3 linked regions of the Cricetulus griseus genome follow. The protein of the gene in region 2 interacts with the protein of the main gene of each other region in a biochemical or structural test. Links are inferred from orthologs where the notes say so. Each region holds a gene or a part of one and is shown on either strand. Other genes may lie near its edges.

The links.
Region 1: the proteins of Rab11fip3 (region 2) and Arf5 form a complex in vitro, tested with the Homo sapiens proteins (2 studies listed by BioGRID). The link is inferred for Cricetulus griseus from reciprocal best matches to the Homo sapiens genes RAB11FIP3 and ARF5.
Region 3: the proteins of Rab11fip3 (region 2) and Arf6 form a complex in vitro, tested with the Homo sapiens proteins (2 studies listed by BioGRID). The link is inferred for Cricetulus griseus from reciprocal best matches to the Homo sapiens genes RAB11FIP3 and ARF6.

The regions. Positions count from the first base shown.
Region 1 is NW_023276806.1:199,365,873-199,373,893, reverse strand, and holds Arf5 (ADP-ribosylation factor 5), read left to right. Parts: upstream 1-3,269; 5' UTR 3,270-3,367; coding exon 3,368-3,434; intron 3,435-3,955; coding exon 3,956-4,036; intron 4,037-4,553; coding exon 4,554-4,663; intron 4,664-5,020; coding exon 5,021-5,092; intron 5,093-5,542; coding exon 5,543-5,668; intron 5,669-5,788; coding exon 5,789-5,875; 3' UTR 5,876-6,284; downstream 6,285-8,021. Other genes in the region: Gcc1 (GRIP and coiled-coil domain-containing protein 1), read right to left, coding at 1-959; Fscn3 (fascin-3), read left to right, coding at 7,767-7,910.
Region 2 is NC_048600.1:45,609,932-45,617,459, reverse strand, and holds part of Rab11fip3 (rab11 family-interacting protein 3), read left to right. Parts: intron 1-350; coding exon 351-454; intron 455-3,773; coding exon 3,774-3,914; intron 3,915-5,469; coding exon 5,470-5,551; intron 5,552-5,788; coding exon 5,789-5,926; intron 5,927-6,119; coding exon 6,120-6,275; intron 6,276-6,402; coding exon 6,403-6,543; intron 6,544-6,637; coding exon 6,638-6,751; 3' UTR 6,752-7,528. UniProt on the Homo sapiens protein: Downstream effector molecule for Rab11 GTPase which is involved in endocytic trafficking, cytokinesis and intracellular ciliogenesis by participating in membrane delivery. Recruited by Rab11 to endosomes where it links Rab11 to dynein motor complex.
Region 3 is NC_048598.1:133,995,043-134,003,203, reverse strand, and holds Arf6 (ADP-ribosylation factor 6), read left to right. Parts: upstream 1-2,723; 5' UTR 2,724-2,903; coding exon 2,904-3,431; 3' UTR 3,432-6,150; downstream 6,151-8,161. UniProt on the Homo sapiens protein: GTP-binding protein involved in protein trafficking that regulates endocytic recycling and cytoskeleton remodeling. GTP-bound form plays an important role in the transport of multiple palmitoylated proteins form the Golgi to the plasma membrane.

The sequences.
Region 1 (8,021 bases), on a different chromosome or scaffold from region 2:
AGCCGCGGGTCTGGTCGGTTCTTCTCATCTTGAATGGCTTGCAGCTCACCTTTCAGCTCCTCTACCTCACGGGTCAGCTGCTTGGTCTGCAGTTCAAAGCCTTCTATCTGATCAGCTGCATATGCCCGCCCTGCCAGGGCTTCTCTGGTCTCTTCTAACCGAAGTTCCAGGTCCTGACGCTGGGTCCTTTCCTCCTGCAACAGCTTCTGCAGCTCTCGCAGCATCACAGCGTGGTCACTCTGCTCCTGGGCGCGATCGTGCTGCTGTGTGATAAGTCGGGCTTTGGTTTCTGCTATCTGCTCCTGCAGCCCCTTCAATTCTCCCACCAGACGGTCCCTCTCTTCCTCTGCCTTTTTATTGGCATCCTCTAGGTCCTGTTTCATCTTCTTTTTGTCTGCCAGGTAAGATGCCTCCATACGGGACTTCTCCTGGGTGACTGTAGCCAAGGAGCTAGTCAAAGTAGCCAACTGAGTCTTCAGCTGATGTAGTCTCTTGTCCATCTCACTCCCCGCAGATGGCCCATCCCCACTGCTACTACTAACGCCACTCTCTGACCCACTGGCCTCTTCGGACTTTAGAGGAAGTGGTCCACGGGCCATTCTGTCATCTTCGACCCCAAACTCACCCTTGATACTCGTAAGACTGGCTGCAGTATCCAAGCTAGTGGCAGTTCCGGTGCTATCCTCACTGTGAGTGGAGCAACGATCATCCACAGAGTCAGGGAGCGTGAGACCTGGAGGCTGCACACTTGCAAGGCCTACATCCGCCTCATGGGATACCGACAGCACTTTGATGCTGGCCTCCAGGGCCTCTTTCTCCTTCAGTAGACTTTTATAGGCCCGGACCACATCCTTGAGTCTAGCCTGGTACTGGAGGAGCTGCTTTTTCTGTGTCTCTATAGTCTCCAGCAGGTCCTTTTTGCTTGGGCCGCCCCCGAAATTCATTCCAAACTTCTCCATGGGGGTTCTGGAGCGGTTTGCTCCACCTCAGTGTTCTGGCAGCCGTGGACAGAGCCTCAAAAACATCTACAAGTGAAGTAGAGAGGACCGTCTGGCCGCAGGCCGCACACCCAGCTGTCCGGGCGGGTTGAGGGGCCGCGGTAGCCAGGCAAAAGCGCTGCCGAGCCGGACCCAAGGTGGAAGCCGGTTCCAACCTGGAGGCGGGGCAACGCTGGCCCAGCAGAAGCGCTCAGCCTCGGCTCTCCAACACTGGCCCAGAGGCCGCTCCACCCCAGCCGCTCCGCTGACCACCAAACCCAGGCCCGCCCACCTCCGCCCAGGATCGGCCCAGGGTTTACACTAAGCTCCGATCCATCTCGATTTCCTAACTCCGGCCGGCTGGCAGCACCGCTTCCGGATCCACTGGAAATGACGGCAGCAAAACGCCACAGACCCCGCCTCCAAGATGCGCGAGGTGGGCGGGGCTTCCGCAGCCAGGGTGCGCTGACAGCCTGGAGAGGGAGTAACCAGAGGGGATGGTTGGGAAAAGCCAAGTCCGGGACACCTGAGCAGTGATTTGGAGAAGATGCCTAACTTTGCCCCCAAACTACCACCAGCGAGCGACAGGGGGCGACGTCGCACTGCGTTTGCCCCAAAAATCCCGGGTTGGAAAGAAGCGTACAACTATTTGGGGCAATGTCCAATATATCCCTAAAAAGCAACAGGACTCATACTAGAAAAACAAGCCCAGCACCTGGCTAACATAAAGCAAAAATAGCCCGCTTCCTTAGTTCTGCTTTTAGATGGACACTAATATAGCTATAAGGTTTATCTTGAATATTGGTATATGGTAGGGGTCTCACAAGAGTTTTTGCTGTTTATTCTGTTCAGAGGATATCATAAACACCAATTTACAGTTGTGGAAGCATACACTGCACAGAGGTGACTTATCCAAAGCCATTCAGCTACTGCTAAGTTTAAGAATCCTACCTCGGTCCACTTCTCAAGGTATTAAGTGCCACGCCAGGCAGCACCCTGAAGAAACATGGTCTTGCTGCCAAGAAACTTGTCACAGCAAGGAACCAGACATGCAAACAAGTAGACCCTGCCCTCACACTGGAATGTGTGGGCATCGTCAAAGTGGTATAAAAGAGATGAAGATGCCTGTCTAGAAGGATGGGGATTCTCGGGGAGAACATTTTTGGGATTTGAAGAATGAGTAAAGACTGCCAAGCAAATTCAAACGTGGGAAACCAGTATCAAAGAAAGTGGAAAAGTTTACAAGAATCATTCCTAAACAGTAGCGTGGGGTGAGAGAGGCGCAGCTACTGATGAGGCTGGAACAGGTAGGACCCAACTTAAAGGCATTTCATCTCGGGCGTCGACACATTAAAAGATTTAATCTCAAGAGGACACCGTCGAGACTCTTGTGGGGCCTGTAAGATGGCTCAGCAGTAAAGGCACTTTCCACCAAGCCCCAACGACCTGACCAGAGTTCTATCAAGAGAACCCACATGGCCGAAGAAGAAAACACATCCCACAGGAGGTTGTCTTCTGACTTCTACACCACGCCCCCCCCACACACACACACACACACACGAGAAATAAAAGTGGGGAGGGGCTAAAAAGCAAGGCTCCTGTGACATTGTGAAGGCACCAAGGGGGCGGGAAGCCTGTGAGGAGACTCAGGCATAAAAAGAGACTAGTGAAATAGTAGTGACAACAGGGATGAAGAGAGTATTTCTGTTCTAAGAATCTTCTCGGGAGGCCAAGGCAGCCGCATCTCTGTGAGTTCGAGATTAGTCGGGTCTACACAGCAAGTCCCAGGCCACCCAAAGCTAGTGACGTAGTGGGCACAGTGTCTCCAAACAAAAGAGAATAAACTACTCTGAGAATTTTTTTAAAAGATTTATTTATTATGTATACACACATCAGAAGAGGCCACCAGATTTCATTATTGATGGCTGTGAGCCACCATGTGGTTGCTGGGAATTGAACTCAGGACCTCTGGAAGAAGAGCCAGTACTCCTAACCTCTGAGCCGTCTCTGCGGCCCCTACTCTGAGAATCTTTTAAAGCTATTTTTCGAACCTGTCAGGGCCTTCTTAGGAATTCAAGTCTATGACCGAAGAACATAGCAAAATCCCGCAGTGGTCCTAAGACCCAGGATTACTGCGCCCTTTCCAGCCTCGGCCAGGGAAAGGTAGCCAGGCCTCGCTAGACTTCAGTTCTTCCGCAAACGTGCTTGGGGGCGGGGCTGGGGCGGGCCCGGAGGGGCGTGGCCACGTGACGTCGGGCGGGCCCGGACGCGCGGAGGCGGTGGCGGCGGCGGCGCCTCCTCCTTCTGCTGTTGCGCCCCATCCCCCCGCGACCGGCCGGTTCCAGCCCTCACCCCGCGTCCCTGCCCGCGCCCCCGCCCCGGGCCCCACCATGGGCCTCACGGTGTCCGCGCTCTTTTCGCGGATCTTCGGGAAGAAGCAGATGCGGATCCTCATGGGTGAGGCAGATCGAGCGCGCGGCCCGGATGGGGCGCCGGCCCCGCCGCAACCCTCCCGCCCCCGCGTCCCTCCAGCCCCGCTCACCTGGTACCCTGACCCCGAGACACCCCACCGCCCGAGCCTCTGGGGCTGCGCTCGGGTGCAGGCCGGGATCTGCGGTGTCCGCCCCGGGCCTGGAACCCGGAGCTGGGGCCTGGGTGGGGTGACGCTTCCTCCGCCCCAGCCCGGCTGCTAAGCAGGGAGGATTCCGCCCTTGGAAACGACTTTTCAAAGGAACGCGGCCTTCCTCCCGGGCCCCCCACCTCTCCTGCCCCTCTCGCCCCTCGGCCGCTTGGGCGGCAGGAGTTGGCACTCGCCACCCAGACTGCCCTCAAGGCCCGGAAGGTGGAGAACGGCTCGCACCTGGAGGCTCTCCCGCTCTCCGCCCCCATCACCATCAGCTGGCCAGTCCTCTCCCTGTCCCTGGTCTCTAGGGGGCTCCCTCGCTCCCGTCTCCATTCTGTGCCCCTCTCCGTTGCAGTTGGCTTGGATGCGGCTGGCAAGACTACCATCCTGTACAAACTGAAATTGGGGGAGATTGTCACCACCATTCCCACCATAGGTGAGCCCGGGAACGAATGTCGCCTCGGGCCTTCTCGGGGTCTGCTCCTGGTGCTGCTGAGGCCCTTATCTGTTCCTGACCCTGACACCAGATACAGCTACTTGAGAAGTGGGTCACGGTATCTCTGCGTGCCTGCTGGTGCCTGAGGCGTGGACCATGAGCCTAGCATATCTGTTGACCTCCGGTCCTTCTGGATTCTATTCCCATTGGCCTTGGTCATTGCCCCCTGAGTTTGTGTGCCTGTAGAGATCCGAGTGGGGTTTTTTTGTTTGTTTGTTTCTTGTTTTCTTGTTTTTGTTTGTTTGTTTTCAAGACAGGGTCTCTCTCTGTAGCCTTGGCTGTCATGGAATTCTCAGTAGACCAGGCTGGCCTCGAACTCACAATCCACCTGCCTCTGCCTCCTGAGTGCTGGGATTAAAGGTGTGCCACCACTGCTGAGCTGATCCAAGTGGTTTTAGTGAGTTCCTTTCAGGACTTTTTTTCTCTCTCTCTCTCTCTCCAAAAACATTGTCTGCAGGCTTCAATGTGGAAACAGTGGAATATAAGAACATCTGTTTCACAGTCTGGGATGTTGGAGGCCAGGACAAGATTCGACCTCTGTGGAGGCACTACTTCCAGAACACTCAGGTGGGGTGGGGACCGAGGGTAGAGGGACAACCCCAGGGAGAGGGTGGGACGGGCCTGGAATGAAGTATTGGCTGAGTCCTGGGCCCTCATCCCTCTCCCCTTAAGAACTCCTCCTTAAGAACTCACCCTCATCTTATTCTGGGAGGCAGGGTTCTGGGCTATGCTGCCTCCTCTAGCTCTCAAACAGAACATCTTTTTGTTTGTCCCCTCTGTCTTTGGGGCACAGATCCTTAATAGAAATGTACTGGATGAGAAAGGCTCATACCACTAAAGATGGGAGAAATGAGAAGAAGCCACATTGGGGCTGGGCGTAGGTGGGCGTGATCTCTCCTGCTTCCTTTCTTCCTTCCCACTCAGGGCCTCATCTTCGTGGTAGACAGTAATGACCGAGAGCGGGTCCAGGAGTCTGCTGATGAACTGCAGAAGATGGTGAGTGTCCAGATCAGAGAACTGAGCTTGGTGACAAACAGTTCTCTGAGGTGGTATGGAAGTCCAGTACTCTGTGGGTGGGGAATAGGAGATTTTTGTGGCACTGGATGAGTTGCACCTCACCCAGTTTGGCAGGACTTTTTCATTTAAATCCCTTTCTGTCTGAGTCTAAGCAGTTGGGGAGAGGAAGAGGGGTTATCTGTGGTAAAGAGAAACAACCTCTCATGTTTCTTGTTTTTCTTTGTTTTTTAATGTTCTGCATTTTGTTTGAAGGCTTTCTGGAGGTAAAATTTAGGGGTAAAATTTAGGGGCTTTGCGCTCATTTATAACTGCCTTCTATTCAGCAATAAGCTGCATAGTACTCTGTGTAGGGAACCCTGCTACAACATAGTCAGCAGGGGGCCCAGGGTCTTTGCAGCCATAGTTCCACCCTGTCTTCTCCCGTCTCAGCTGCAGGAGGATGAGCTTCGGGATGCCGTGCTGCTGGTGTTTGCCAACAAGCAGGACATGCCCAATGCCATGCCTGTGAGCGAGCTGACTGACAAGCTGGGGCTTCAGCACTTGCGTAGCCGCACGGTAAGGATCTTGTCCCCTTTGCACTGGGTCTGGTCTTTCTCAGGATCCCCAGGCTAGACCAAGGTAGAAAGGTACTCCTTGTCTTCCCTGATGCTGATCTACCTCTCTTTCTTCCTACAGTGGTATGTCCAGGCCACATGTGCTACCCAAGGCACGGGCCTGTATGATGGGCTGGACTGGCTGTCCCATGAGCTGTCAAAGCGTTAGCCAGCCAGGGGCAGGCCCCTGCTGCCCGGAAGCTCCCGCGTGCATCCCGGGATGACCAGACTCCCGGACTCCTCAGGCAGTGCCCTTCCTTCCCACTCCTCCTCCCCACAGACAGGCCTCTGCTCCTGCTCCTGCCTGCATGTTCTCTTGTCGTGGGAGCCTGGAGCCTCGCTCTCTGGGCACAGAGGGCTCTGCTCTCCTGCCTGCTGGGACCTGTGGATGGGCTTCCTGGCCAAGGCCCCCTCTTCCAGGGGAGGAGCAGGGATCTGGATTTAATTTCATTTTTTTTTTTTTCTGTTCTGGGTGTACCCTTGGGGCCACGTTTGGGGGGAGGAAAGTGAGGGCTCCGGGTGGTGCTATGACGTGGAACTGGATATTGAGTAATAAATTTGCTGTGGTTTGTACCCGGTGTTGTCTGTAGCCTGGAAGTTGGAAAGCTGAGTTACTGTGGGTACAAAAAGACAATATGGGAGAGGCTTAAAGCCCCTGAAGTTGTGAAGTCAACACATGTAAGCTTCTCCCTGTAGTGTTTCCAGGGGAGGAAATCAACTTCATCCTCCATTCTGAGGACGGTTATTTAGGAGTGTGAGTCCACCTCATTCCACAAACCACAGAGCCTACTATTTCCTGTCTCTTACCCAGCTGTGTAGCAGTTCTTCATGGTAGCTTTGTACACGGGGAAGAAATGGACATTAAAAAGATTAGTCCCAAGACACTCTTAAGAAAAATGATCGATCTGGTCTGAAGCCTTCCCCAACAACATACATGTTTAAAATTACCCAAATGATTCCAGCACTGGGCAGCATCTATTAGCCTTTCTTTACGGAACACCAGTGGAGCCTTTGCTGGGGACCACTGGGACGCTATACCTGGGAAGACCCCATCTATGCAGAATCAGGAAGGACATGTAAATGCCATGGCTCTGGGCTAGTCTCCAAGCAAAGTTGATTGCCTTTTTCCCTGTGGATCCCAACGAAGCTTAAACAAGACCTGTTGTCCCACTGTTTCTTTTTATGTACCTCTTTCCATATTTGCGGTTTGTCTAGGCTCTAAGCTGAGGTTTTCTCCTTGAGCTTTGCCGGAAGTGATCCAGCAGAGCCCTTTGGGAGTGGGGCTGGTATCTTTTCAGGCAGAACTGGCTTTTTGCCCAGTGGGTTCACCTGTACCACAGCCAGGGTTGGTGAAGCACAGTGCTGGAGTTCCCTCCACCTAAGTCATTCTTTCTGAGCCTTTGAAGTTATGAGAGTAATTTCATCCTCAATGGTTATGTATCCATTTCCCTCACCTTCATTGCAAAGTAGTTTCCAAAACATTTTGACCTTGTCTTCTCAAGGTCCGTAAAGACTTGAACTTGAACTTAAAAAAAAAAAAAAAAAAAAAAAAGAAAAGGAAGGGAGGGAGGGAGGGAGGGAGGGAGGGAGGGAGGGAGGGAGGGAGGGAGGGAGAAAACTTGGGCTATGGAGAACCTAGCAGAACCCTCTTGTTGGGAAGCAAGTAGGTTGATTCCTATCTTGTTAATAAGAAAGGGAAGGATGGGCCCAAAGTCACAGGTTGCAGTATTGATGCCCAGGTTAGTCCTACCTCATTGCTTGGAGTTGGTCGGGAAGACATGCCAAAAGCTCTGGACCCACTTCCCTTGGCCCATGGATTGATGCTACTAGGACAGTGCCCTTTCCCCACTGTGGTGGGATAAGAGGCAACCTTTTCAGTCACAATGCTCCCGGGTCACAGAGGTGCTGGGCCCTAGGCCAGACCTCTGCCTGGGAAGTTTCCTCTAGGAACGGCTTCTGGTGGGTACTACGGGCCTTATTCCCGGCCATATGGCCTGTGGGACCTTACCACTGGGGGGAAGCCTGGGCCGGACAGAGTCATCACCTGTGGCACTGGCCCCATGGCTGAGGTGGACTGGATACACAGACATCCTAAAGCCGAGGACCTAAGGGTTGGGCTCATCAGCTGGGCAGGAACCTACCTCACCTTTGAAGCATATAAGAGTACAATCACAGCTGCTGCAAAGAGTTTGGGCAGGAGACAGGTAACAAGGCGAACCTGGACTAGAACCAATTTTCTGAGTGGCAGAGGTCATGTGTGTGTGTGTGTGTGTGTGTGTGTGTGTGTGTGTGTGTGTGTGTGTGTGTGTTGTATT
Region 2 (7,528 bases):
CTGTACTGTCTTCAGACATCTGTGCCACCTCTGTGTGTTTTTTATCTGGCATTTGAATCTCACAAGGGAATGTGTGTCTGGGTGAGCCTCATGGTTCCAAGCACAAGCCAGAAGGTACTCTTGGTACCCTTTAGGGCTTGTATTTTCCAATGACATTTGCCTTGTTCTGTTGCGTCAAGTGTGACCCTGTGGGAGCCGCACTGCTGTGGGTTTATAAGATGTCTGTAAGGATGAGCATGGCTCCACTCGGCAGGTGGTATGGGAATCCCCATGCTGACATGCAGATGTTCCATTGGGGGCACAGCTTCTACTTTTCTGCTTGTTCCTCAAACCTTTATCTCTCTGCCTAGGTCATCTTCCTGGAGAGACGGGTGTCAGAGCTGGAGAAGGATAGTGCAGCTGCTGGGGAGCAGCATGGCAGACTGAGGCAAGAGAACCTCCAGCTGGTGCACAGGTGAGTGTGCTTGTGGCCTGGCACTGCCTGGAGCCATCACAGTATCACTCTTGCCCTGTGTATTCTCTTCCTCACCAAGCAGGATCTGCAGAGAACTAGCTCCTACCTGGCCATCCATCCATTCAGGTACTGGATGAGTGCCAGATATGGCCAGAGGTCTATGGCAGGTTCATCTGAGACTTTGACCTGAATACTCTTACCCTGGCAGATATCTGCCACAATATTATAGACAGTAGGGTTCCAGAAAAGTGAGCAAGGGTACTACTTGACTCAATGCATGTGAGATAGTTCTGTCCATCACAAGCAGTTGGGGAGGTACAGCTTAAAATGGAGAGCTGGGCATTGTGATGCATATGCACAATCCAAACACTTGGGGAGTGTAGGAGGGTCTCGAGTTCAAGGTTATTCTTGGGTATATAGTGTGTCCAAGATCAGCCTAGACTATATGAAATGGTATCAGAAATGGTACCAGCCAGTAAAGTGTTTGTCTTGGCAAACATGGAGACCTGGATTTTATCCCCAAATCCCATGTAAATGCTAGGCATGAGGACACACAGTTGTAATCCCAGAATTAGAGAGGTAGAAACAAGAGAACCCTTGGGCTTTGCTGGCCAGCCAGTGTAGCCTAATCGGGCTTCAAAGGAAGTGGACAGTGTTCCTGAGGATGACACCACATGCATTGACAACACACACGTGCTCATGCACTTGCATACACACACCGAGATTTTAAAATTTTTAAAACAAGGTGTTGGAGAGATGGCCTAGCAGCTAAGAGGATCCACGCTTGTTTCCCAGCACTCACACGGCAGCTTGCACCTCTCTGTAAATCCAGTTCCAGGGAATCCACCGCCTCGTCTGGCCTCCACAGACACTGCACACATGTGGTGCACAGACATACATGAAGGCAAAACACCCAGATAAAATAAAAATAAAACAAATCTTTCAAAAATTAAACAATAAATAAATCATGTGGGGAGGGGCTCAGTAGTGGAGCATGTGCTGTATGAGGCTGAGTTCCAGACAGACCCTCAAAGTTGGAGGGCGTCGCTGCACCCAGAGCCTTGAGGCCGCTTTTCTGGTTTGTTTTTTGTTTTGTTTTGTTTTGTTTTTTCAGAACAGGCTTTCTCTGTGTAACTTTGGCTATCCTAGAACTCACTTTGTAGACCAGGCTGGAGTCAAACTCACAGAGATCCACCTGCCTCTGCCTCCTGAGTGCTGGGATTAAAGGCTACAGGTCAGTTTTCTGAAGCACTTGGTACTCTTTGTGGAACTGACCCAGGGTCCATGTGCAGCCAGTTCATAGAATGGGAGCCTCTGATGACTCTGTTTCTGAGAACCTGCCCCAGGGAAAACATTCCAGCCGTGGCATTGGCCCTGTGTTGAGGCTCTTGCTCCCCTCATTTATCCTTCAGTAACTGTGGGAGGCAGACACTTTCTCTGTTTTCCAGATGAGAAAATGGAGTTAGTGCAGCTTACATGGTTGTCCAGGGCCTCAGAGGACAGCAGGGCTGTGGGGCTGAGGACAGAGCTCTGTCCTGGAGGAACAGGTAAGGAAGATCTTGTGCAGGGGCATGGCCTCTGCAGACCTCAGCATTTTCAAGCTGCTTAACCAAAAAGCAAATTGAACAGGAAGGCAAGTGGCATGATCTCCTCACATGGGCAAGGTGAAATGTGGCAGAGTTGCTGTCTGCATAGAGCAAAAGAAAAGAGGGGGGTTTTGAGAAAGAAATAAAGGTCATTTCAAATTCTTTAAAAAAAAAAAAAAGAAAAGAAAAGAGGCAGGAATGTGGTGAGTTCCAAGGGAGCCTGGACCACAGTGACATAAAAAACAAGGGGAGGGGGGCCAGAAATGAAAAGAAACCAAGGGGATGGAGATGTGGCATTTGCTCCTCTTGCAGAGGACTTGAGTTCAGTTTCTAGCACCTGCGTAGCAGCTCACAACTCTACAACTCCAGCTCCTCATGGGCATAAACTCACACGTGGCACACTTACATACATGGAAGCAAAACACACATGCACATAAACTAAAAATAAATCTTTTAGAAAGAACTGATAAGGAGCCATGTCTGGGGTCGTGTAATCCCAGCACTTAGGAGGTGGAGGCGAGGGGATCAGGAGCCCTTGGAGATGTGTTCTGAATGTGGCTGACCTTCCTAGGAAGGAGCCTGTGCTGCTGTTCTTTGTATTCCCTGGATGTCTCCATGTGGCTGTCAGGTTTCTGTGCTGAGCATTGACTTTCAGTCTTTAACTCTGAGAAGTGTGTGTGTGTGTGTGTGTGTACAGATTGAGGCAGTTGGTTTTTTCCTACCCTGTGGTTTCTGGGACTCAAACTCAGGTAGTTAGACTTGATGGCAAGCACCTCTACATGCCAGGCCATCTTGCCAGCCCTTCAGAGAATCCTAAAGCTCTGTCTACAGTCTCGTCTCTTCATTCTGGTCATGGTAGATATAGTCGAACTTTTTCTTCATTTTCATAATCTCTAATGTTACCACTTTGTCCCTTACTAGAGTCAGCTGAGGGTTGTGTATATCCTGAGTTATTTTGTTGTTGTTGTTATTTTGAGACAGGGTTTTTTTGTGTAGTCCTGGCTGTCCTGGAACTTGCTCTGTAGGCCCCACTGGCCTAAAACTCGGAGATCTGCCTGTCTCTGGGATTAAAGGTGTGTACCTCCGCACCTGGCTTTAAGAGTTGTTTTTAAATATGTTCTTCCCATAGTTTGCCACTCTTAGTTCCTCACAGCACCAGACATAAGGCTTTCCAAACTGTAGATGCCTGTATGACGTGTTTGTTCATTGTGCTACCAGACTCCTGTGCTGTCTGGTGCTCTTAACTGGTCTTCATTCTTGTACAACAAAGAGGAGCTAAGGTGTACATGCTGGGGCTATGGCTTTTTCACAGCTGTGGGTGAGGCTGGCAGTACTTCTCTCAGGGATTACCCCTGACTGTCCCCAGTTTGTAAGAGGCCAGAGTCTCAAGCCTTATCAGGGATCTTCTGTAAGTGATCCTGGAGGGAACTAGGTGCACAATGAATCCTTTTCTCTAGGTGCAGCTCCACCACAGCCTTTGGGGTCCACATGTACCAAGCAGCTGGTCTTGCCCCTCAAGTGTCACCACATCTAACTGTGCTGCCAATGAAGTCTGTACTTGTGTTAGCAGCGTGGACTTGCTGTCACAGTTGCTTTCTACACACTGCTGCAGCCCTCAGACCCCAACACTTTCTGGCTCTTTCTTCAGGCCTTACTTATCTGAGTTTGTAGTGGTCTCACTGGGACAGCTTTCATATACTTTACAGATATACACTTCTCCCCTTTTCCCTTAGAGCCAATGCCCTGGAAGAGCAACTGAAGGAGCAGGAGCTCAGAGCCCAAGAGAGGGTCCTGGAAGAAACCAGGAAGCAGAAGGAGCTCCTGTGTAAGATGGAACGTGAGAAGAGCATTGAGATCGAGAACCTGCAGGCCAGGTAAGCAAAGCTCTGGAGCAGGCAGCAGAAATCTGTCAGCCTGGAAGATAGAAGGAGAAGCTTCATAACAGAAAAGGGGCACTCACATGAAAAGATGCCTAAAACTTCTTATTTATTTGTTTTTTGAGACAGGGTTTCTCTGTGTAGCAGCCCTAGCTGTCCTGGAACTACCTCTGTAGACCAGGCTGGCCTCGAACTCACAGAGACCCTCCTGCCTCTGCCTCCTGAATGCTAAGATTAAAGGCATGCACCACCACTGCCTTGCCAAAACTTCTTTTTTTAATTTTTAGATTACATTAATTCATTATGTGTTTGTGTGTACACATGTACAAGTGTGGAAGTCAATAGGACAACTTGTAGGAACTGGTTCTCCCCTACCATGTGGGTTTTGGGCATTAAATTCAGGTTCAGTTGAACATAAGGCCAGCCTGGGAAACAGAGACTTCATCCCCCCAACCCATCCCCAAAATATCAACTTTTATTTTAAGAGAATTTGGCAGAATTAATTTTGTGTTCACTTGGAACTGACACCATGGGTGTTTGGTACATTAACAGTCATAATCCAGGAGAAACTGATAACGGAAATATCCATATACACTTACACACTGATGGAACTGTGCCAAAGGGACACTGGAGCCAACTGAAAGAGCTTCCAGTGACCAGAGCTGCGAATGGCAATGGTAACAATCCCATGGGAGGATAGACAGGGTGTAAATGAGACGGGCAGGAGTCCTCAGCCACACTGTCAGCCTGTAGATAGAAGACAAGAGTCTTGCTCTCATAGAAATACAAATAGTGTCTGCATACTCCCCTCCAGGAGCTTGTGTGGGGTCCCTCTCTGGAGGTATAAACTAAGGGACCAGCAGAGATACCTACCTAGTAGACACAGCTTAACCAAGTGACCCATGATGGTAGTGGGAGTGTGACAAGGACCTCACTATGCCAAAAATTTCCCTAAGCACCCCTGCCATACACACAAGTCTATAAACACCAAAAACTAGTCTGAGGCACATTTTGCAGAATATATGTCCAAGATTACCGCAGTATGACAGTCTGGGAGGCACACAGACCAGAAAATATAAAAGACATAAGGATAATGTGTGAAGACCTAAGGTTTGGTGGAATGTGTGCATTGATTAATAGTGTGATCCGGCTGAGCACAGGTTGTGATGTGGCACAGTGACAAGCAGGAAAACCAAAACAGACACTCTGCACTTTCTAGAGTTTTTAAAGTCATCATGGCCAGTGCAAGGTAACACATACCTGTACTCCTAGCATTTAAGAGGTAGAAGCTAGAGGATCAGGAATTCAGGATCATCCATGTCTACACAGGAAAGTTGAGACCAACTTGGGTTTCATAATACTCTATCTCAAAAGACAAAAAACAGACAACAAAAAAGCTGGGTAGTGAGGTAAAGACTGGCCATGCAGTTGGGATTATTGTGGGTCACAAAACAGTTCCCAGGGTGTGAGTATTCCTCTAGAGCTAGGCCTTCCTTGTCCTTTGGAGACACATTTTAGGCGGAACATGCCCTAACCTGTTCTTGTGTCCCAGGTTGCAGCAGCTGGATGAGGAGAACAGTGAGCTGCGGTCCTGCACACCTTGTCTGAAAGCCAACATTGAGCGCCTGGAAGAGGTGAGCTCCTGGCCTGGTACTTGTGGGAAAGGCCCTGCCTGGAATGAAGACTGTCCTCAACCCTCTGCCTGACAAATCAGTATGGTCTTCTGGGGGGCAAGGGTGGGGCAGATTGGTAACTCTGTCATGAACTGAAAGTGGGAACTGTAATGTCTGTCAGTGGACTGGGAGTTAGGCTGTATATACCGGTAAACTGGTGCCATTAGTACCTGTCCACACTGGTGTCTGTTTTTGCAGGAGAAGCAGAAGATGCTGGATGAGATTGAAGAGTTGACACAGCGTCTCAGTGAAGAACAGGAGAATAAGAGGAAGATGGGGGACAAGCTGAGCCATGAGCGGCACCAATTCCAGAGAGACAAAGAAGCAACTCAGGAGGTGAGCAGGGCCATTTGTCCCTCCCCATGTTCTCATATTGTCGAATGCTGCCTGTTCCCTGACAGAGGCCAGGAAACCCTTTTGTTTTCTAATACTCTGGTATGCAGCAGCCTCTTAGAACACAGGTCAGCACCTTCCCAGGAGAGGGTGGTCAAGCCAACTAACAGGAGCCCACCTTGTGGTTGCCTCACAGCTGATCGAGGACCTCCGCAAGCAGCTAGAACATCTGCAGCTCCTCAGACTTGAGGTGGAGCAACGACGAGGCCGCAGCAGCAGCCTGGGCCTGCAGGAGTACAACAGCCGTGCGCGGGAGAGTGAGCTTGAGCAGGAGGTCCGCAGGCTCAAACAGGTGTGTTCTGCCTTTCCACCTACCCTCACAGAGGCTCATGAGAGGGGGCAGCAAGATGAGGTCCTTCCTGGCAGCTCCTTGTCCCAGCAAGGGGCATAGCCCAGTGTAACACTGCCATGTCCCCTAGGACAACCGCAACCTGAAGGAGCAAAATGATGAGCTAAATGGACAGATCATCACCCTCAGCATCCAGGGTGCCAAGAGCCTCTTCTCCACGTCCTTCTCTGAGTCACTGGCTGCAGAGATCAGCTCTGTCTCCCGAGATGAGGTAGCTTGTCCTGCCTTTGTATACCCCTAGGTGTCTGTCTGTTCTGCACAGGTCCCTTCCTTTCACTGTATACTGACCCTTTGCTTTTCTGCAGCTCATGGAAGCAATCCAAAAGCAGGAGGAGATCAATTTCCGCCTGCAGGACTACATTGACAGGATTATTGTGGCCATCCTGGAGACCAACCCATCCATCCTAGAGGTCAAGTAGGACATCTTAGCCCAGTTTGGGCTGGTTATAGACTCCACAGCGCACCAGAGTGACTGAGCCAAGACCTGCAGGTCCTCCAGTTTACCAAACCTAGAGTATACGGGGCCTCATGCAACTGGACTGGGAGAGTAAAGATAAGGGCTGCAGTAAAGAGTAAAGAACAGTAAAGAGGAAGAAAGGGAAGTCGACAGCAGACAAGGAATGAGGCTGGGCTCCTTGAATGTCAGGAAGCCAGGGCCTCCCACCGTAAGCTGGCCTAGCCAGCAACATCCATGTCTGCTCAGCAGAATGAAAATGTGTAGGGATAGTCTCTCAAGCTGGGAGGGGCCCCTCAATGACTCTCTGACAAACCCCTCTTCCTGCTATGCAGCCTGTTAGGAAGAGAGGGAGAAAATGAATCCTCACCTCAGTTGCTGCCTCTCACTCATGTTGACATGGTGCCACCCAAGCTTGGCCATTCCCACATGGTATGCAAGCTGAGGACCCACAAGTTGGACATAGACATGGTAGTTCTGGAAAGACAGGCAGGTAAAGATGGCATATGTGGGATCTGGTCCGGAGCCACAGGCTACCTGTTCTCCTTGCGCTGCTCAAGCCTTCTCCCACCAGATGGGCTTCCATTCACCTTTGGACCTAGGGCCTCCAAGCCACACAGCCATTCTTTGTCCAGACTCTCACACAGTAACTCGTCAGCTCTGGTCCTCTTGTGGGGGCTAGGGCAGCTAGTTCATGCTGACTATGGAACTCACTTCCTGGACTGGTCAACACCCAGGTGCA
Region 3 (8,161 bases), on a different chromosome or scaffold from region 2:
GACAGCCTCCAAAGTCACAGAGAAACCCTGTCTTGAAAAACCAAAAAATTAAAAAAAAAAAAAAAAAGGCAAGAAAGTAGAAGGGGGTCTAGTTGGAAAAAGGAAGCCAGTAAAAAGGGGATTAAAATAAGGTAACTGAGGGTGAGTTTTGTTGAAAATATATATATATCTGAAAATGTCAAAATGAGACTGATTGTTATGTACCACTAATATGATAATAAAAAATTCATATAAAATTTATTGGCTAGATGGAATCAAGAAAATAAAATGTTTCATCTGTGGTATGGTTTAGTAGTTTCCTAAATTGTTGCCACTTGAAAGTATTTTTGTATATTAACATTTAGCTTAACTTAAAACAAAACAAAAAACCAAGAGCTCACTATGTAACCTTGGCTGTCCTGGAGCTTGGTCTGTAGACCAGGCTGGCCTCAGATAATCATCAGCCTGTGCCTCCCGAGCCCTGGGGTCAGAGGCACACACCACCTTACATTTTTAAAAATAGGTCTTATTCGGTGTTTCGTGTGTGTGTGTGTGGGGGGGCGAGAGCTACTGGAGTTCAGAGGACAACTTGTGGGAATAAGGTCTCCTTTAACCATGTGGATCTCAAGGATTGAATTCAAGTCCGGAGTGGTGGCAAGTGCTTTAATCACTAAGCCATCTCAAACAGCCCCCAAATTGACCTATTTTTAGAAAGTGGCATGATATTCCAAGTTTAAAATTTTCACTATCAGTGACTATGTTCTTGCCATTGTTAATTGTTTTGTATTATAATTATTCTTTAATAGTTTGTTATTGGGGCTGGGGAGATGACTCAGAGGCTAAAAAGCACTTGCTCTGTAAGCACAAATACCAGAGTTCAAACCTTCAGTCAGCACCCAAGTGAAAAGCCTGGTGTGGATTCAAGTACCGGTTGTTCCATAAGTGGGGTCACACCAGTAATCCTAACCCTATCCCCTCTCCTCGGAGGTGGAGGCTGGAGAATAATAATTTCAAGAACATCCTGAGCTATACACAGTGAATGTGATGCCAGCCTGGGACTCCAGCCTGAATTAAACATTAAATGTATTACGTGTCAAATGGTGACAGCCTAGGCCTAGGCTGGCCTAGAATTTATGCCTCACTTTCATCAGTTCGGGGACAGGCTGAGCCACCTTGTCTCGCTGGTGGCTACAGATTTTCTTAGGTTACAAAATAGAAACAGTATTATTATCAAACGCTGTTGTAACAACTTCTTTTAACTTTCTTTTCTCCCCTTGTGTTTATTTCTGCCCTTATTTGATATTTAAAGTTTCTATTCTAACCTTAACACTATTCATTTAATACAAAAAATGTTTCCAGGACCAGCTGGCTTAGCAGGTGAAGGTGGGGGCCGCCAAGCTTGATGACTTTTGAGTTTGATAGCTAGGACCCGCATGGTGGAAGAATTGACTCTGGCAAGTTGTCCTCTGACCTCTCCTGCGCACACGGACACTAAATGAGAAAGTATTAAAAAAAAAAAACCGAAACAAAACCCAAATAGGTTTCCTTATTGTTCGTGCAGCCCAGAGGTCAATTTAAGGGAGTTTTCTCCTTTCACCCTATGCGTTCTGAGCCTGGGGCACAGGTCCTCATTGTCGTCGGCCCTGATACTCTTTTCCTAAGAAACGTGGGCGGTTCCGACGAGACTTACAAAGAGAAGGAGTTTAAACGTTCCAAAGCAGGGTTTCGGAGCAAACCCAAGACTAGAAAAAAGTGAGGGCTACTTTGACGGACGGCTTCGGTGGCACGCCGACCTCCCACGTGTCTTCCAGGAAGCTGGAGGAAGTCGGGAGGCGACCGGGTAGAAAGGAGACCGTGTTGCTGGCAGGCTGGGGCGAGCGGGAGGGACGTTGCGCGGGGAGTCTGGGAACAAGCCTCGGCAGCGTGGGTGGGGGCGTCGGTCTCCAGCGCCGACGACGCCCACCCCGCAAGCGGCTTTGCACCCCGCGCCTCCGAGCGGCGGAGGAGGAAAAAACCGGGGAAGACCCCCCGGGAGAGCGACAGGTGGGCGCGTCGCCAACCCCGCGCCGCCGGGCTTCCGCGAGGCGCCTCCCTGGGTCCTGCGAGCCGCCGTAGCCCCGCCCCCCGGCGCGTGGCGCCCGTGACGTTGGGCGCGCGGGCCACCACTCTCCTTACTGAGGTCGCGCTCTTCCGAACGGTCGGGCCGAGTTGCGCACGCGCAGTCGGGAGGGGAAGTGAGGCGGTTTCCTCGGCGCCTTTTCCGGCGGCAGCGGCGGCGGCGGCAGAGCTGGGAGGAGGAGGAGGAGGTGCAGGCCGGAGGGAACCCGCGCTCGGGGCGGCGGCGGCGGCAGCTGGAGGTAACCCTCCCGGGCCGATCCCCGACCGGCGGGCCGCGTCGGCCTCCGCACCCACGGAGTCCCGGCGGTAACTCCCTTCTTCCCTTCTCTGTGTCCCTGCAGGCAGCACCGAGTTCCCGCGAGGATCCATGACCTGACGGGGCGCGGAGCCGCGCTCCTCGTCGGGTGACCCGGGTCGGTGGCGAGCCCGGTGCTCGCGGGCCGGCGGGAGGGCCGCGGTTGAGCCGCCGCGTGCCGAGGCGGCGGCGGAGCTGCTGTCGGCGGCGCCTGCGGGGGAAGGGCAGTTCCGGGCCGGCCGCGCCTCGCCTCGCCTCAGCAGGGCGGCGGCTCTCCCCGGCGCAGACGCAGGGCCCGGGCGGCGGGCGATGCCCGAGTGAGCGCAGGCCGGGCCCCTGCCCCTAGCAGGCAGCTTCGCGCAGGCCGCACGCAGGGCGTCCTCGCGCGGGGGCGGCTCCGTTTCGATCTCGCGGCGGTAGCAGCGGCGGCGGCGGCGGCAGCGGCGGCGGCGTTATAGGCTGAGGGGACCCGGGACACCTGAATGCCCCCGGCCCCGGCTCCTCCGACGCGATGGGGAAGGTGCTATCCAAGATCTTCGGGAACAAGGAAATGCGGATCCTCATGCTGGGTCTGGACGCAGCCGGCAAGACAACGATCCTGTACAAGTTGAAGCTGGGCCAGTCGGTGACCACCATTCCCACGGTGGGTTTCAACGTGGAGACGGTGACTTACAAAAACGTCAAGTTCAACGTGTGGGATGTGGGCGGCCAGGACAAGATCCGGCCGCTCTGGCGGCATTACTACACCGGGACCCAGGGTCTGATCTTCGTGGTGGACTGCGCCGACCGCGACCGCATCGACGAGGCCCGCCAGGAGCTGCACCGCATTATCAATGACCGGGAGATGAGGGACGCCATAATCCTCATCTTCGCCAACAAGCAGGACCTGCCCGATGCCATGAAACCCCATGAGATCCAGGAGAAACTGGGCCTGACCCGGATTCGGGACAGGAACTGGTATGTGCAGCCCTCCTGTGCCACCTCCGGGGACGGACTCTATGAGGGGCTCACATGGTTAACCTCTAACTACAAATCCTAATGAGCATCCTCCACCCATCCCCCGGAAGGAGAGAAATCAAAAACCCATTCATAGGATTATCGCCACCATCATCAACCTCTTTCAATTGCCACTTTCTTTTTTGAATCTGAACTCTGGAGTTACTGTTCTACGGTTTAGTGGGGTTGGGGTTTCCTCTTTTTCTTTTTCTTTATTTTTTTCTTTCTTTCTTTTTTTTTTTTTTTTTTGGCTTTGCGTTAGGATGCTCTGATCTGATATTTGACACGAAAACAGTGCTAGATGCTCTTGTGACTTCCAGCAAACGGGGTGGGGTAATAGCAGCTCTTGGTAAAATCCTTTATAATAATGGTTTGATTTTTTTATGTCGAGAGAATCTTTTTTTCCCCCCAATGTATGCTTTTTTCCTTTTTGCCCAGTTTCTTACCACTTGCTGTAGATGGCTTATTTTGCATTCATGCAGACTATGTTGCGAGTCTGTTTCATCTAGTAAACTGAAAATTATTGCTTAATCAAACTGCCGTTTGTCTTTTATATTTAAGGCCTTCCCCCTTTCCTTGTTAGTGCTAACTTTAGCAATTTCAAATGTGACCTTTTATATCCAAGACCAGTATGGTGAACTTAGCCCACAGTGGCAAAATAATGAGTAATACCAGTGTAATGTTCCAGTTGCACATCAGTGTGTGAAACAGGTAATGTAGGGAATCCCTTCAGGTGTCAGCTATTAAAGTGCATGAGTAGGAGTAAACTCAAGTTCCCTCACCATAGCTAACGTACGCTGCATAAAACAACTCACCTCTACAAGGGGGCAGATCTTTTAAACTGCAAAGTTAGTAACTTTGCTATTTCCCTCTCTTCTTCCTTTAAAAATAGACTCTTTCCAGAAAATGGAGCAATAATGGTGTACGCCACACAGATGAAATATTTGTAGATATTTTAAGTGACTTTCGGGCAAAATCGGCATATGTTACCTTGTTTCAAATCTCTTAAGACAAGTAGCTTTAAAATTACTAAACATTTACTTTGTTCACTAATAAAACATTTAAAAAGTCAAATTATATGCACCTTTTCCTAGCTGGAAAAAAAATACACATTCCTGTTTTCACATTACAGCAACTGATTAAACTGAAGATATATGACTTTTTTTTAAATAGATGAGTGATCTACATCTCCATTAATTAAAACACTGGAAAAGATGTTTTATTTAAAAAAAAGGTATTTAGTTTTGCTTGATTGTAGTATTAACTCATGCAAATAGATATCCTGTTGGTTCAGTCGTAGATCGTCTCCTTTAAGGAAGAAATGTGCTGAATGAGTGATGGAGACTGGAGGGGTGACACAGGGAGTAGGATGACGAGAAAGAACCTACAGATGACAATGAATGTAAATTTATTTTTCTTTAAGGGTAAGCATTGTGCTCTCTGGTGATATCCAGATCTTAACAAGATGAGCTGGTTAGGACCAGTTACTAGATTGAGACCACTATGGTGATAATTTTGAACCAAATGTTAATGTTGATTCAGAATTGTGAAGCAGCATCTGGTTCTTGTGTAGCCTTAAGGATTAATGTAGTGATCCTCAAGGAATGAAACTTAGGGAGTTTCGGAAATGTAGACTGCCAGGGCAGGATACAGGAAAAGGTGGAATGGTTCTGTTTATGAGGGTGTCTGAAAACTAAAGTCAAGCCGGATATCATGGTATCGTTGGACAGTATTGGTCCTTCATGTTTTGGCCATATTGTATAATGGAGCTTTTACCAAAGATGTATGAGAAACAGAAGGCTATACAAAAATGAGCTGTAAGTAAAACTAACTAAAAGCAGATGAGAAAAGGTGCTATGTTGTAGGCTCCTATTGGTGCAGAGGGATTTTGAAATCAAGACGCAACTAAAACCTAAAGTTCTCAGTTTCACATTAATAAAAATATCTCTAGAAATGAAGCTGATTCACATATTTAAGAACATTATAGTTGCTTTTAAAAATTCCCAAAGCTCCACCGTAAATGTAATTCTTAGTGTTTTAAATGATTACATTTTAAGGTACATAAATATGGTTATACAAATATCAATGCTACAGTAACATCCTGAAACAAAATAAGCACAAAGGTATAAATGCCTAAACTGGAGGAAACTTGAAACCCTCATGTTGATTCTTAAATGTAGTATTCTAACTTGTGACAGACAGATTGGTAGACAGCCATTTTTTTGTGTGTCTTAAAATAACTGGGGGCATAGTTAAAATTTTATACAAGTGATTGCTATTACTGAATGTTGCAGGTGAGATGGGTTATTTTTAGTTTATTTGAAATGTCTGAAAAGGGTGGGAGGGGGGAAACATTTGAAATTTGAAGAAAACCTAAACCTTTTGGAAAGAAACTGTAATTTTCACTTACATTTCTTTAAGAGTATATATAAAAGGTTTATAATTGATGTAGTTAAATTGAACCATAACCATTGGTGATTATGAAGCAGGAAATTAGAGCCTGCAGAAAAAGTTATAATGGAAGAATTACAAAAATAAGGTCCTAAAGATTTTGTTTAATTGCATCAATTTCTGTATTTGTGTGAATTTATAAACTTGCTAAGTTCTGAATGAGGTTAATCTTGTCTAATATAAGTAAATGAGTCTGTAGACTGTGATTCCCCCTTCCCCCAGCTAAAAAGTACAGTCCTTGGAATTGTTCTTTATGGTTGTAGTGTTGCTGAAGCACTAACATGCAGAAAATAAAGGAATTACACAGTGCAGTTTCTCACGTTATGTTACTTGGAGTAGATAAGTGGGATGTACTGGTATCTTGGGCTATGTTATTTTCCAGGATATATGGTAAAAAGTGAATTTGAGACTCATCTGACTTATAAAAGATAAAAAAGATTCTCCCCTAAATAGTGGCTATTTAAGGTGTTTTCTGTTTTAATTTTACCAATCCGTGTTCTGTGACAACTGAAGGTATTTAGGCCTCCCTTCCCCTTTGTAAAGACTAGGCAGGTGTTCCACCACATTGCTGGCTGGATCCTTGACTCTTTGCTGTAGTTTTCATTTTGAGATAGGGATTTAGTTGCTCAGGTGGACTTTGAACTTGTGATCCTTGCTCCATCCTAAAGTTGTTAGGGCTATAAGCCATCTCCACTGCAGGTGTCTATTTTTTCAAATTACAGTCTTAGCATTTTGAAAGTACAAAATTGTGTTTGTAAGGAATTGGCTTGCAGAGTTCTTTTTTAGTTGTCTTAATCTTTAATAGAGTTGGATTCAAAAATTCTTTGAGTTCAAAGTTGCTTGTTTGATTATAATTGTAGCCATGTGAAAGGCAAAATTGTGGATGAATAGCTTGAAATCATTTAAATATTCTTGTAAGCGTTCCCTACACTAGTCAAGTTTTTTTTTTTTTTTTTTTTTTTGTAGTTTGATTCTAATCTCATTGATGTGACATATAGTATGATTTAGATCATACATTAAGACTGGGTTTGTTAGTGCCTACCTGTAATCCCAGTACTTGAGAGATGGAGGTAGGAGGATCAGAAGTTTGAGATCAGCCTGGTCTATATGAGATCCTGTTATAACTAACTAGCTAATAAGACTCATTGATACTTCTAGTATATCTGTTACTGTGACTTACTGAGATGTCAAAGGTCAGTTTTTCAGTGGTAACAGTAGAAAATACTTTCTAATGGTTTGGAATACTTTAGACAGAAATTGAGCCACTGTATAGTTTGAATAGTAATATTTATCTTCTACATTCCAGTTATTATCTTGTTCTCTCCCTCTGTCTCCTCTGTCTGCAGCTTGTAGTCAGATAAGTCTTGTCTCTTAGACATAATAATTATATTTACAAACAACATGTAGAATTTTTTAGTATTTTTCATATCAGACTAATCACAGCATACCATATTTGGAGCCTAGCTATCAACAGAGTAGTATTTTGCTTGCTTAACCAAATGGCTGACAGAAGAAGAAGTGATAGTACTCAGAAGTTTATATTATTGAAGTATTATAAGGAGCTTAAAAAAAAATCAAGCACTGCCAGGCGCTGGTGGCACATGCCTTTAATCCCAGCACTGGGGAGGCAGAGGCAGAGGCAGGTGGATCTCTGTGGATCTCTGTGAGTTCAAGACCAGCCTGGTCTCAAGCTACACAGAGAAACCCTGTCTCTGAAAAACCAGGAAAAAAAAAAAAATCAAGCAGAGCAACTTGTTGTTTTGCCAAACTTTAAAGCTGTCAAACTAGTTGAACTGGCAGGGAACACTTGTGGATAAGATCAAAGAAAGTAGAATTGGTCTGTAGAGGGACTTAGGAATTATAATTGAAATTTGTTTATTATAGCTAAAGTAATGGTATGCTTCAAGAGAATTGAACTAAGAACCAAGCTCACTTTGTGGGATGGTAAGAAGTACTTAAATTTTTCATTTTGATATAGTTTTAATATGTAGTCCAGATTAGTTTTGATTTTGTAGTCCTGAGACATACCTAGCAAAAATGCTTTACTTAGCACCCTCCCTTTATTTAAAATGTCTTATGACTATTTGAACAACTTTAAATTACTTGTTAGTTTTGTATTTGAGCATTTTTTTAAATCTGTTGGATTATTTCACATAGAGTACATACACACTTCCTTTGTGGTATCTATTGTATAAGTTTGAGGGTAGATTGATGATTGAGGGCCTAATATTCCTGGAACTGTTTCCGTACAGTGCAAAACAATAAATGTCTGCCTCCATGGACATACATGGGTGGGGGGTAGAGAACAAAGATCAGATGGTA